Oryctolagus cuniculus: one gene and its partner. The protein of the gene in region 1 purifies or fractionates together with the protein of each later gene. This does not show direct contact. Links are inferred from orthologs where the notes say so. Each region holds a gene or a part of one and is shown in the gene's direction. Other genes may lie near its edges.

Region 1 (4,475 bases):
TGAGAGAGTTTGGATTTTTCTCTGCCCTCGGGATTCTTAGTTGTTCAGCTACCATGGATCCCTGCTCCTGTCTTTTCTGAGGGCCACCCCTGCCCCCTAGGAGAGGAAGTTAGGGTTTAGACATCCTTTTGAGAATGCTGACACTTCCAGGGATGACATTGGGAAAATATATTTCTTTAAAAGAAGGATGAACAATTATATTTATATTTCAGGTTATGGTTTTTAAACAGGAGCGGGTGGATTTTTTGCCATGTGCACCTTGGGGTTTTGTAATGGAAATGTTAAAAATGTTTTCCTTTTTTTATCATTCTGGCTCTTTTTCTTCCACCTCTTGAACTTGAGTGCCCTTACTATTAACGTTATTTGTAATTTAGTTTGTAATTCATTAAAAAAAAAAAGTTCCTAGTTTTGTAGTTATTTTGTTCCTCCTATTATTCACGGGAAGAATGGTGTGAGAGAGACCAGGCAGGCGAAATTGTGGTGACTGGTTTTAGGCCTCTCTAGGCAGGGATACCCTCTCACTCTGTTTTGGTCTCTAAGATGCACTTGGAATTGGGATAGGACCCAGGGTGAGTAACGTGGGTATTAGACCCATTTTACAGCCAGGGAAGCTGAGGCCCTGTCATTTCCTCCTTCACTTTCCCCACACAGCAAGTCCTACCTCCCCCCACCCCACCACCCCCACACACACAGCGACCATTCCAGAATCTGCAGTAGGGTTGGAAGTAGGTTCCAGAAGAATCCATCCACCTGTACACCGCCTTTCCCAGTAAGCCGCGTTGATTTTCCTTTCTGTTGCTTATCACACACGGCAGAGTTTCTGAAGATTATCTTATTCACATTTACATACAATTCAAAAAATACCCACTGAGTATAGAAAATTACTACCACGGCGTCTCCAGCTACTGCTTTTTGTAGTTGCCATTGTCTCCATCAAAAAAACATCTCAGATCGCCCGCAGGCCACGCCGAAAACGCACGTCCTCTGAACCCTCGCTAAAAGGAAGAGCGCTGAGGCGCGTCTCTCAAATTCCCAGGCGCCGGGTCCCCTCAGAGGTATTTCCCTTTACGCCCGCGAATTTGTCATAGAGGGCGGGGCCCCGAGTCAGCCCCCGCCAAATCCAGGGGGAGGAGCGAAGGTCAGTAACGGCCTCCCTCAGGCTTCCTTCAACCCCGCCTTGCCTGCCAGTCAAGTCCCGAATTTCCGCAGCACTGGCTAAAGTCTCACTTGGACCCGCCTCCATCACTCACCTGATTAGATGTTTATGAGTCAAAAGGCGGGGGTCATGGGGTGTCGAGGTTTTATTGGCTGGTACGCACGTCTATCAACGACGTACCGCCCCCTGTCTCCGGGAGCTCGCTCTTTAACGGCCCATCACCTCGTCCGTCTTCCAGGTTTCTCTCCCTGTATTGGCTTATGACCCTGCCTGTCCAGTCCCTTGCTCGTACTCGTTGGCGACAACACCCCAAGAGTCCCGCCTTTCTCCAGAGGATTGGCGGATGAGTGCACATACAGCCCACCCTCGATGGTAGGCGGGTAATCATGCTATTGGCTGGGGCCCCCGCCCCAGGGCGAGGAGGAGGAGGAGGGGCAGGAGGTTTGGTTGAGTTGCAGCTGTTTGTCTGTTCGACACAGGCTTGGGCCCGACGGGGGAGACGGAGCCCCAGGTACCGAGCTGATGGAGCCCACAAGGGCAGAGGCAGAGGCGCCGGGAGATGAGAGCGGCCTGGCCTGAGAGCGCAGTCGGGTCTGGGCCTAGGCGAGGGGTTAGAGAGTGGCCCAGTGGAGAGGGGAGAAGGGGGCCGGGCCCCGGCAGGCCTAGTGGGGGCGCTGAGGAGGGGACCGGGCGGGCTGGGAGGCTGAAGTTGGGGAGGCGGCTGGATCCCGGCGGCCGGGAGCCGGAGGCCGTGCGAGGGTAGGGGAAGGCCTCATTACTCATGGAGAGGGAGGAGCTGGGGAAAGGGACGGGGCAGCGGGTGAGGTAAGCCCATTTGCCTGGCGGTGAGAAGGGGTCAGAGCTGACGCCCGGGCCCCGGGGGTAGCCGGGGCCGGGTCTCTTGGAGGGCTGTCTTAACTGGGAGGGCCCGAGAAGGGCTCTTAGGTTGGCTAAGAGGCATTCTTTTTGAGGGGAAGTGGCTGCCGTGAAGAGACTGGGGGTGCTGTGATGTGAAGCCGAGAGGATTTCTGTTCAGGGAGACGAGGGCAGCTCTGCTCGTCTGGAAGACTGAGGTAGTTGAGGGCACGGAAGCAGGGCCTGGTGTCCCTTGCCGGGGCTTCTGGGGCTGTGCTGCAGGGTGGGCTGGACGCTGAGCCTCGGGAGAACCCGTTCTTTTGTTCCCCTTAGCGTCTCGCTGGGGCAGTGGGAAGGTTTTTGATAGTCCCAGGGTAGGGAACGGAGAAAGAAGTGAGTTTACTTTTTTCCCCATGACTGTTGACTGCTCCTGGTTCAGCCCCTGCACTTTCTCTCTGGGTCTGGTCTTAGACTGCAGTTCTTCTCTTCCCTACCACGGATTCCTGTCTGGCGAAAGAAGTTGGTAACTTGGCGATGTTTTGTTCAGTTCTTTCCCACTTAATAATGTGGTCTTCAGCCTAGAAATGGGCAATGATCTCATTATTTACCCAGAAAGGAACTTAGGGATCCCTGGCCATCAAGAGATAGTCTGAGGGTAGTTGGTGGAAACTTTTGTGGGACTTAGACTTGGGGCGTTCCTGGTCAGGTACTGAAGTTAACCAGGCCTGGAATTAAGAGGTGATACCAGTGAGGAAGAGATTTGGAGAAGGAGAAATTCCATTGCAGAAGGTTGGCATCACCACCTTGTTCTTTGTCCACTTCCTCAGGAGCCCAGGTTTCTGTGCTATTAGGAAGTTGAGTCGAACCATCAGGTATTTGAGGAATGGAGGAATAGAGAAAAAAGAAGGCAGAGGATTGGAATCCTGTTCTCTCCATTTTTAATGGTCTGCTGACCTAGTCCCTGATAAATGGGAGCCTATTTGATTTTCCCTGGCTGTACTTCCTCCTTTTTCCCTTCTATACTGATGTATTTTATCAATGCATTCCTGAGTTACAAAATATCCACATGTTTTTAAGTACTTTTACTTGTGCTGTACAGAAGTACACAGTGCAAGTCCTCCTTCACATACCTCCTGTTTGACTCAGGGAGGTCGAGACCAGACTGATCTAACTGGGGGATGTGCCATCAAAAGCAATTCTGTTTTTGTGTTATCAGACTGTCATCTGTCATTTCTTTACCTTTTCGGTGTTAGTCTGTTATTCTTTCACTGGCCATTTTATTTTCCACCAAATTCAGACAACCAAGGGAGGGGTGTGTTTTAGGTTATCGTTTGTTTCCTGCAGTACACACACACATCCCAGTTGTGCACTAGAGACCCTAAGAAATGTTCAGGTAGAGGGAGAAAATTTTTTTCTGTTTTATCGGCAAGAAAGAAACATTAAGGTGAATCAGACCATTTTGTCTAGGATAATTATTGGCATGTCTGAAAGTGAAGAATTTAAGACTTCTGTCTTCTGGTTCATGGTCTCTGCATATTCACATCACTTAACCATCCATTCCTTATCCTGGAAAATGAGAATGATTTTCCTAAGAGGCCCCTTGTATCTCTCTTTCTAAAGGGATCTGAGAAGCTTCCAAGTTTCTCTAGACTTGAAATTGGTTTTCTTCTAAATCGGAGTTGAGTGTATGGCTAGGGCATTTCTTCCTCTCTTCTCCCCTCCCCTCCTATGTCTTTAATGTCTGTTTATTTTCCTCTGCTTGACAGAGCAACAGAGAAAAAGAAATTGATCTGCTGGTTTACTCCCCCAAATGCACATAACAGGCAGAGCTAGGCCAGGCTGCCTGGAGCCTGGAACTCCATCCTGGCCTCCCACCTGGGTGGCAGAGCCCCCAAGCACTTGGGCCGTCATCTTCTGCCTCTCAGGATACAGTAGCAGGAAGTTGGGTAAGAAATTGAATAGCAGAGCTTGAATGGGGGACTCTGATATGGGATGCAGGTGTTCCAAGTGCAGCTTAACCTGCTGTGCCCCAAAGCCACCCCATAGCTAGAGCATTTCATACTACTACCCTGTTACTTTAATTTGTCCTTACTGGCTTTATAGAATCCTTCTAATATGTCCTGCCTTTACATTGCCCATCAGAAATGATGCTTATTGTTCCCTATTTAAAGAACTTTTCTCACCTGCCAAGCCAGTTCTTGAGAAAATTGTATAGCGGAATGTATGTTTTAACCCTGTCCATTCTGCCATTTTCTGAACCCTCATCATATCCCATCTCCTCATCATATCCTGTTTCTGCTCTATGTTCCTTTGTGTTTTTTTTTATCTACTTTACCCTTCATCAAAACTTACCTTCATAGAAGAATCTGGAATTGTTCCGTATTAAAGTGTAAGTAACACACAGTCATTTAAAGTATTGAGTCTTTCAAGGACTTGTGCACCTTAAGAGGGAGCTACGGAGTGG
Region 2 (4,366 bases), on another chromosome or scaffold:
TTCTCTCCGGGCATCTGGATGGGGCTGCTCACCTCCCTTTTCATGCTCTTCATCTTCACCTACGGCCTGCACATGATCCTCAGCCTCAAGACCATGGATCGCTTTGATGACCACAAGGGCCCTGCCATCTCTCTGACCCAGATCGTGTGACCCCGTGCCAGGGGGGAGGGGTTGTGGTTGTGATGGTGTCCAGGTTGTCATTTTCCCACCTTATGGTACATGGCACCCAAGGACCCCCTCTTGCTACCATAGCATGAACCCCCAGCTCCCCTCAGCCTGTCTCACTCCCTCATCAGCCTGCGGAGGGGCTTCCCCGAGGCTTCTCCCAGCCCTCCTGACAAGGTGTAGATATTCTGCATAGATTTTAGGCCTGTCTCCCGGGTCAGCCATGGGAAAGCACAGGGGCATTAGTTCTAGGGTCCCCTTTCTCCTCCCCTTATTTATTCTTCTCTATCTACCATAAGCTCTGGCTGTACATAGCGCTTTTGTGTAGCAAGTTCTCCCTCCCCCAGCTTTATGGGGCTCCCTACAGCAGCCAAGAGCTTCAGGTTGCCCGAGGTTGGCAGAATGTGGAAGTGACCACTTCTGTGTCCCGCTTGGCTGTCGTTGTTGTATCCTGGTGATGTTGTGTTAACAATCAACACTGTGCTGGGGTTTATTTCTGTGACTTCAGGAGGAAGGAACCTCCATGACAGGTGGGCTGGGCGTGACCACTGTGTTTCAGGAGCGCCTGGCAGGAGCCTGGCATGCTCCATTGTCTCCTTCCTAATAAAATAAAGATGGGTCGCCACACGTTGGGCCTCTTGTCATTCGTTTCTGGACTAGAAATGAGGAAAGCGTTGGACTGAGGGATGGGAGGAGGGCAGGAGGGCGGGCGGGTGCGGGGAGGGGGGGAGGTGGCCCTAGATGTATCCCAGCCAGGCCAAAATCCAGGAGCCAGGGCCCGCCAGGGACTCTTTTAGCAAACTGGGCCCCTAACCGGTTAAGGTAGGGAAGGAGTGGTCGGGACAGCGGTCGCCGCGACAATGGCAGCTTCAGCGTCGTGAGGGGGCCGCCCCCGGCTGCTGCAGCAGCGCGTGCCCGGCCCGCGGGGCCGCGCGGAGCCTCCCGGGGGGCGGGGCGGGGCGGGGCGCGCGCGGCTCCCGCGCACGGATCCCTCTCGGACCGCAGTACCGGTCATCGGACCGCCCCGCCTAGCTTCCTCTGGGTCCTTGGCAAACGGCGACGCCGGCAGAGCCGCACTGGTGCTAGGGCCCGAGTACCGGCAACCCTCTTAGGAGGCAAGCCAGGGAAGCGGTGATCACTGCTAGGCGTGGTGGGGCCTGGGGAAGTGTTGGGACTTTTTGACGCGGCGGAGGGGTCAGGCGGCGTTCGAAGTGCCGCCATCTTTGGTCCAGTGCGGCGGCGGCGGCGGCGGCGGCTGCTGCTGTGGTGAAACGGGAGGAGGAGCCGAGCGGGCGCTGGTACCAAGGCCTGACCATGGACGAGGAATACGATGTGATCGTGCTGGGGACCGGCCTCACCGTAAGTGTGGCCTCGGGCGCCTGCGCCTCCGCTTCGTGCCTTCCCGAATCCCTGCGATGATGCAGCCGCTGGCCGCCAAACCCATCCTCCCATCATTCCTATCCTCTGCCCTTGGGTCCCCGAAACGCCAGCCCCGTACCCACCCCACTGCCTTCTCTTTCCCCACTCCCCAGCCCCCTTGGCCTCGCGACGTCTTCTCTGCTCGCTGCCATGACCTCGAAGCGGGGTCTCCTGGCTGCTCCCTTGACTCCCTGGTGCCGACTCCCGGCCTCTCCCATCTTCCCTACCCTGCCCTGCTGGGCCGGAAAACGTATCCCCCACTCGGCCTGATGCCCCCCAGTCCCTCCCATCCAGTCCCCACCCATCGCCCCCACCCATCACCTTCCTAGTATTGTGCCCCCCCAACTTATACTAATCTTAGTAGGGGTGAAGTACGAGGACCTGGGGTTAGGGGGCCTTGCCAGGTTGGGGCCTCGTCCTGTGTTCCTGGCTGCTTCTGGGATCAGAAGAGCCAGGGAATGTTCCAGAATAACTAACAGCGAGGGCAGTGACCACATTCCCGCTCCCCCACCCTGGTTTCCCATGGAGACCTGAGGCTGAGCAATATCTGCAGCCTTTGTCCTTGGGCTGGTGACAGTGACTAGGGAGAATGTTCATCGTCCCCCTTCCCCCACAGCGTGTTCACCCGCTCCCCTGAGAGACACATTTCCCTCAGGCCAGGCCCAGATGCCCCTCCTGAGCCCAGGTGGGGAAGGCTTAGGGTCAGGGGCTCCTGGCCTTTGACGACGGAGCAGCCGAGGGTGGGGCCTGAGAGTCCAAGTGCCTTTCTTCACTTCCCTTTTGGGCGCCCTCTGCGGCCTGGCCAGGTCCGCTGTGTGCCTCATTGTGTCTTATCTGCCGGATTGTGCGGCTCTGCACTGATAGAGGACTTTCTTGGCAGTCGGTGCCATGAGACTGTCCTTGTGTCTGCTGGACACTCTGTCTCCCCCGACTCCTTCATTATTTCTCTCTGGTTCACCTCTGCTTAGCAGGGTAAAAAAGGAGACGGGCGGATGTAGCCATCGCCACCAGTGTTAGGCAAGGCGGCGGCGGCGGAGGCTGGGGGCGTGGAAGGAGCTGTCCATTGTGGCAGGCTTGGGGAGGAGAACAGATCAGGGCTGCTGGTGCGAAGTGGGCAGGTGGGAGCGCACCGGCTGTCCTCACACCCCTAGGAGTGCATCCTGTCTGGTATCATGTCTGTGAACGGGAAGAAGGTGCTGCACATGGACCGGAACCCCTACTATGGGGGCGAGAGCTCCTCCATCACTCCCCTGGAAGAGGTAAGGCTGCCAGCCTGGCCCAGGCCGGGCCCTTGGAAACCTCTCACTGGAGCCATAGTGTAGCAGCAGCGGGTGGCAGGGAGAGGGAGGGCCAGTCCTTGAGGTGTCTCTCTCTCTCCCCCTCCTGCTTACAGTTATATAAGCGTTTTCAGCTGCTGGAGGGGCCCCCTGAGTCGATGGGCCGGGGCCGAGACTGGAACGTTGACCTGATCCCCAAATTCCTCATGGCCAATGGTGAGGGAGATGGAGGAGCTGCTGCGGTTTTCCTAGGGGCGCGGTGGTGACTGGGAAGGACCGGAGGGGGTTGGGCTCCAGACAAGGGCCCGCCAGGCTGGCCAGAGCTCCTGCAGGGAGCTGTGCTGATGTTGTCCCCACCACAGGGCAGCTGGTAAAGATGCTCCTGTATACGGAGGTGACTCGCTACCTGGACTTCAAGGTGGTGGAGGGCAGCTTTGTCTACAAAGGCGGCAAGATCTACAAAGTGCCATCCACTGAGACCGAGGCCTTGGCTTCCAGTGAGTGTGGGTCTCCCGACCTCAGGGCGGGTGGCAAGGTAGACACCGGGAGCCGGCCACTGTACGCCCGAGGCTGCATCCCCTGTGAGGTAGCAGATGGCCCTTGCTCTGTTCCTGCTGCTGCCATGTGCCTCACCTCACAGCGGCTTGCTAGCAGGGCGATCCGCGTGCAGAGAGGAGTGGAGGGTGCTCCTTTTCGGAAGCCTGTGACAGGGGCTCCGCTTGAGCCCTGGAACATCTCTAAGTGTCGGAGCCAAGAGGGCCTTCAGAGTGTGCCCGGCCCAACCCCCTCTTCACATGGGTGGGGAAACCGAGGCCGAGACAGGTAGATTACGCTAAGGTCATGTGACAGACCTCACTGGGAGCCGGGATGCCAGCTTTCTCGGCCAGCCCACGGGGGTGGGGTTGGGGGGGGGCGGGAAGGAGAATTTTGTATTCTAGTGCAAAGGGTCCCCCCTTGCCGCCTTCTTCAGATCTGATGGGCATGTTTGAGAAACGGCGCTTCCGCAAGTTCCTGGTGTTTGTGGCAAACTTTGATGAGAATGACCCCAAGACCTTTGAGGGCGTCGATCCCCAGACTACCAGCATGCGTGACGTATACCGGAAGTTTGACCTGGGCCAGGATGTCATTGATTTCACTGGCCACGCGCTGGCACTCTACCGCACTGATGAGTGAGGGGAAGCTGGTGTGGCGCGGTCCCCTTGCCTGGCCTTTACCCTGCCTCCCCAACACCTGCCCACTGCTCCCTCTGCCTACCCTGCACATTTCTCGTACTCAGCCATAGGCTCCCCTGTTGCCTGTCCGCCCCTCCCCTGCACTTGACCCCCCGGCTCCCCTGGGCCATTCGGGGTGGTGGGGTGAGCCAGGGAGCCTGTTGGAGCATCTTCCCTGACCTCTGTCCCCCCAGCTACCTGGACCAGCCCTGTCTGGAGACCATTAACCGTATCAAGTTGTACAGTGAGTCCCTGGCCCGGTATGGCAAGAGCCCATACTTATACCCACTCTAC

What was found.
Region 2: the proteins of RAB5B (region 1) and GDI1 purify together in Homo sapiens (affinity purification with mass spectrometry; 3 studies listed by BioGRID and IntAct, counting the BioPlex papers as one, with this or other methods). This does not show direct contact. The link is inferred for Oryctolagus cuniculus from reciprocal best matches to the Homo sapiens genes RAB5B and GDI1.

What each region holds. Positions count from the first base shown.
Region 1 is NC_091442.1:58,763,135-58,767,609, forward strand, and holds the start of RAB5B (ras-related protein Rab-5B), read left to right. Parts: upstream 1-1,528; 5' UTR 1,529-1,542; coding exon 1,543-1,667; exon of another isoform or gene 1,668-1,766; intron 1,767-1,830; exon of another isoform or gene 1,831-1,915; intron 1,916-2,133; exon of another isoform or gene 2,134-2,229; intron 2,230-3,782; exon of another isoform or gene 3,783-3,957; intron 3,958-4,475. UniProt on the Homo sapiens protein: The small GTPases Rab are key regulators of intracellular membrane trafficking, from the formation of transport vesicles to their fusion with membranes.
Region 2 is NC_091453.1:132,666,663-132,671,028, forward strand, and holds the start of GDI1 (rab GDP dissociation inhibitor alpha), read left to right. Parts: upstream 1-1,479; coding exon 1,480-1,524; intron 1,525-2,735; coding exon 2,736-2,843; intron 2,844-2,977; coding exon 2,978-3,077; intron 3,078-3,223; coding exon 3,224-3,358; intron 3,359-3,831; coding exon 3,832-4,030; intron 4,031-4,266; coding exon 4,267-4,366. UniProt on the Homo sapiens protein: Regulates the GDP/GTP exchange reaction of most Rab proteins by inhibiting the dissociation of GDP from them, and the subsequent binding of GTP to them. Promotes the dissociation of GDP-bound Rab proteins from the membrane and inhibits their activation.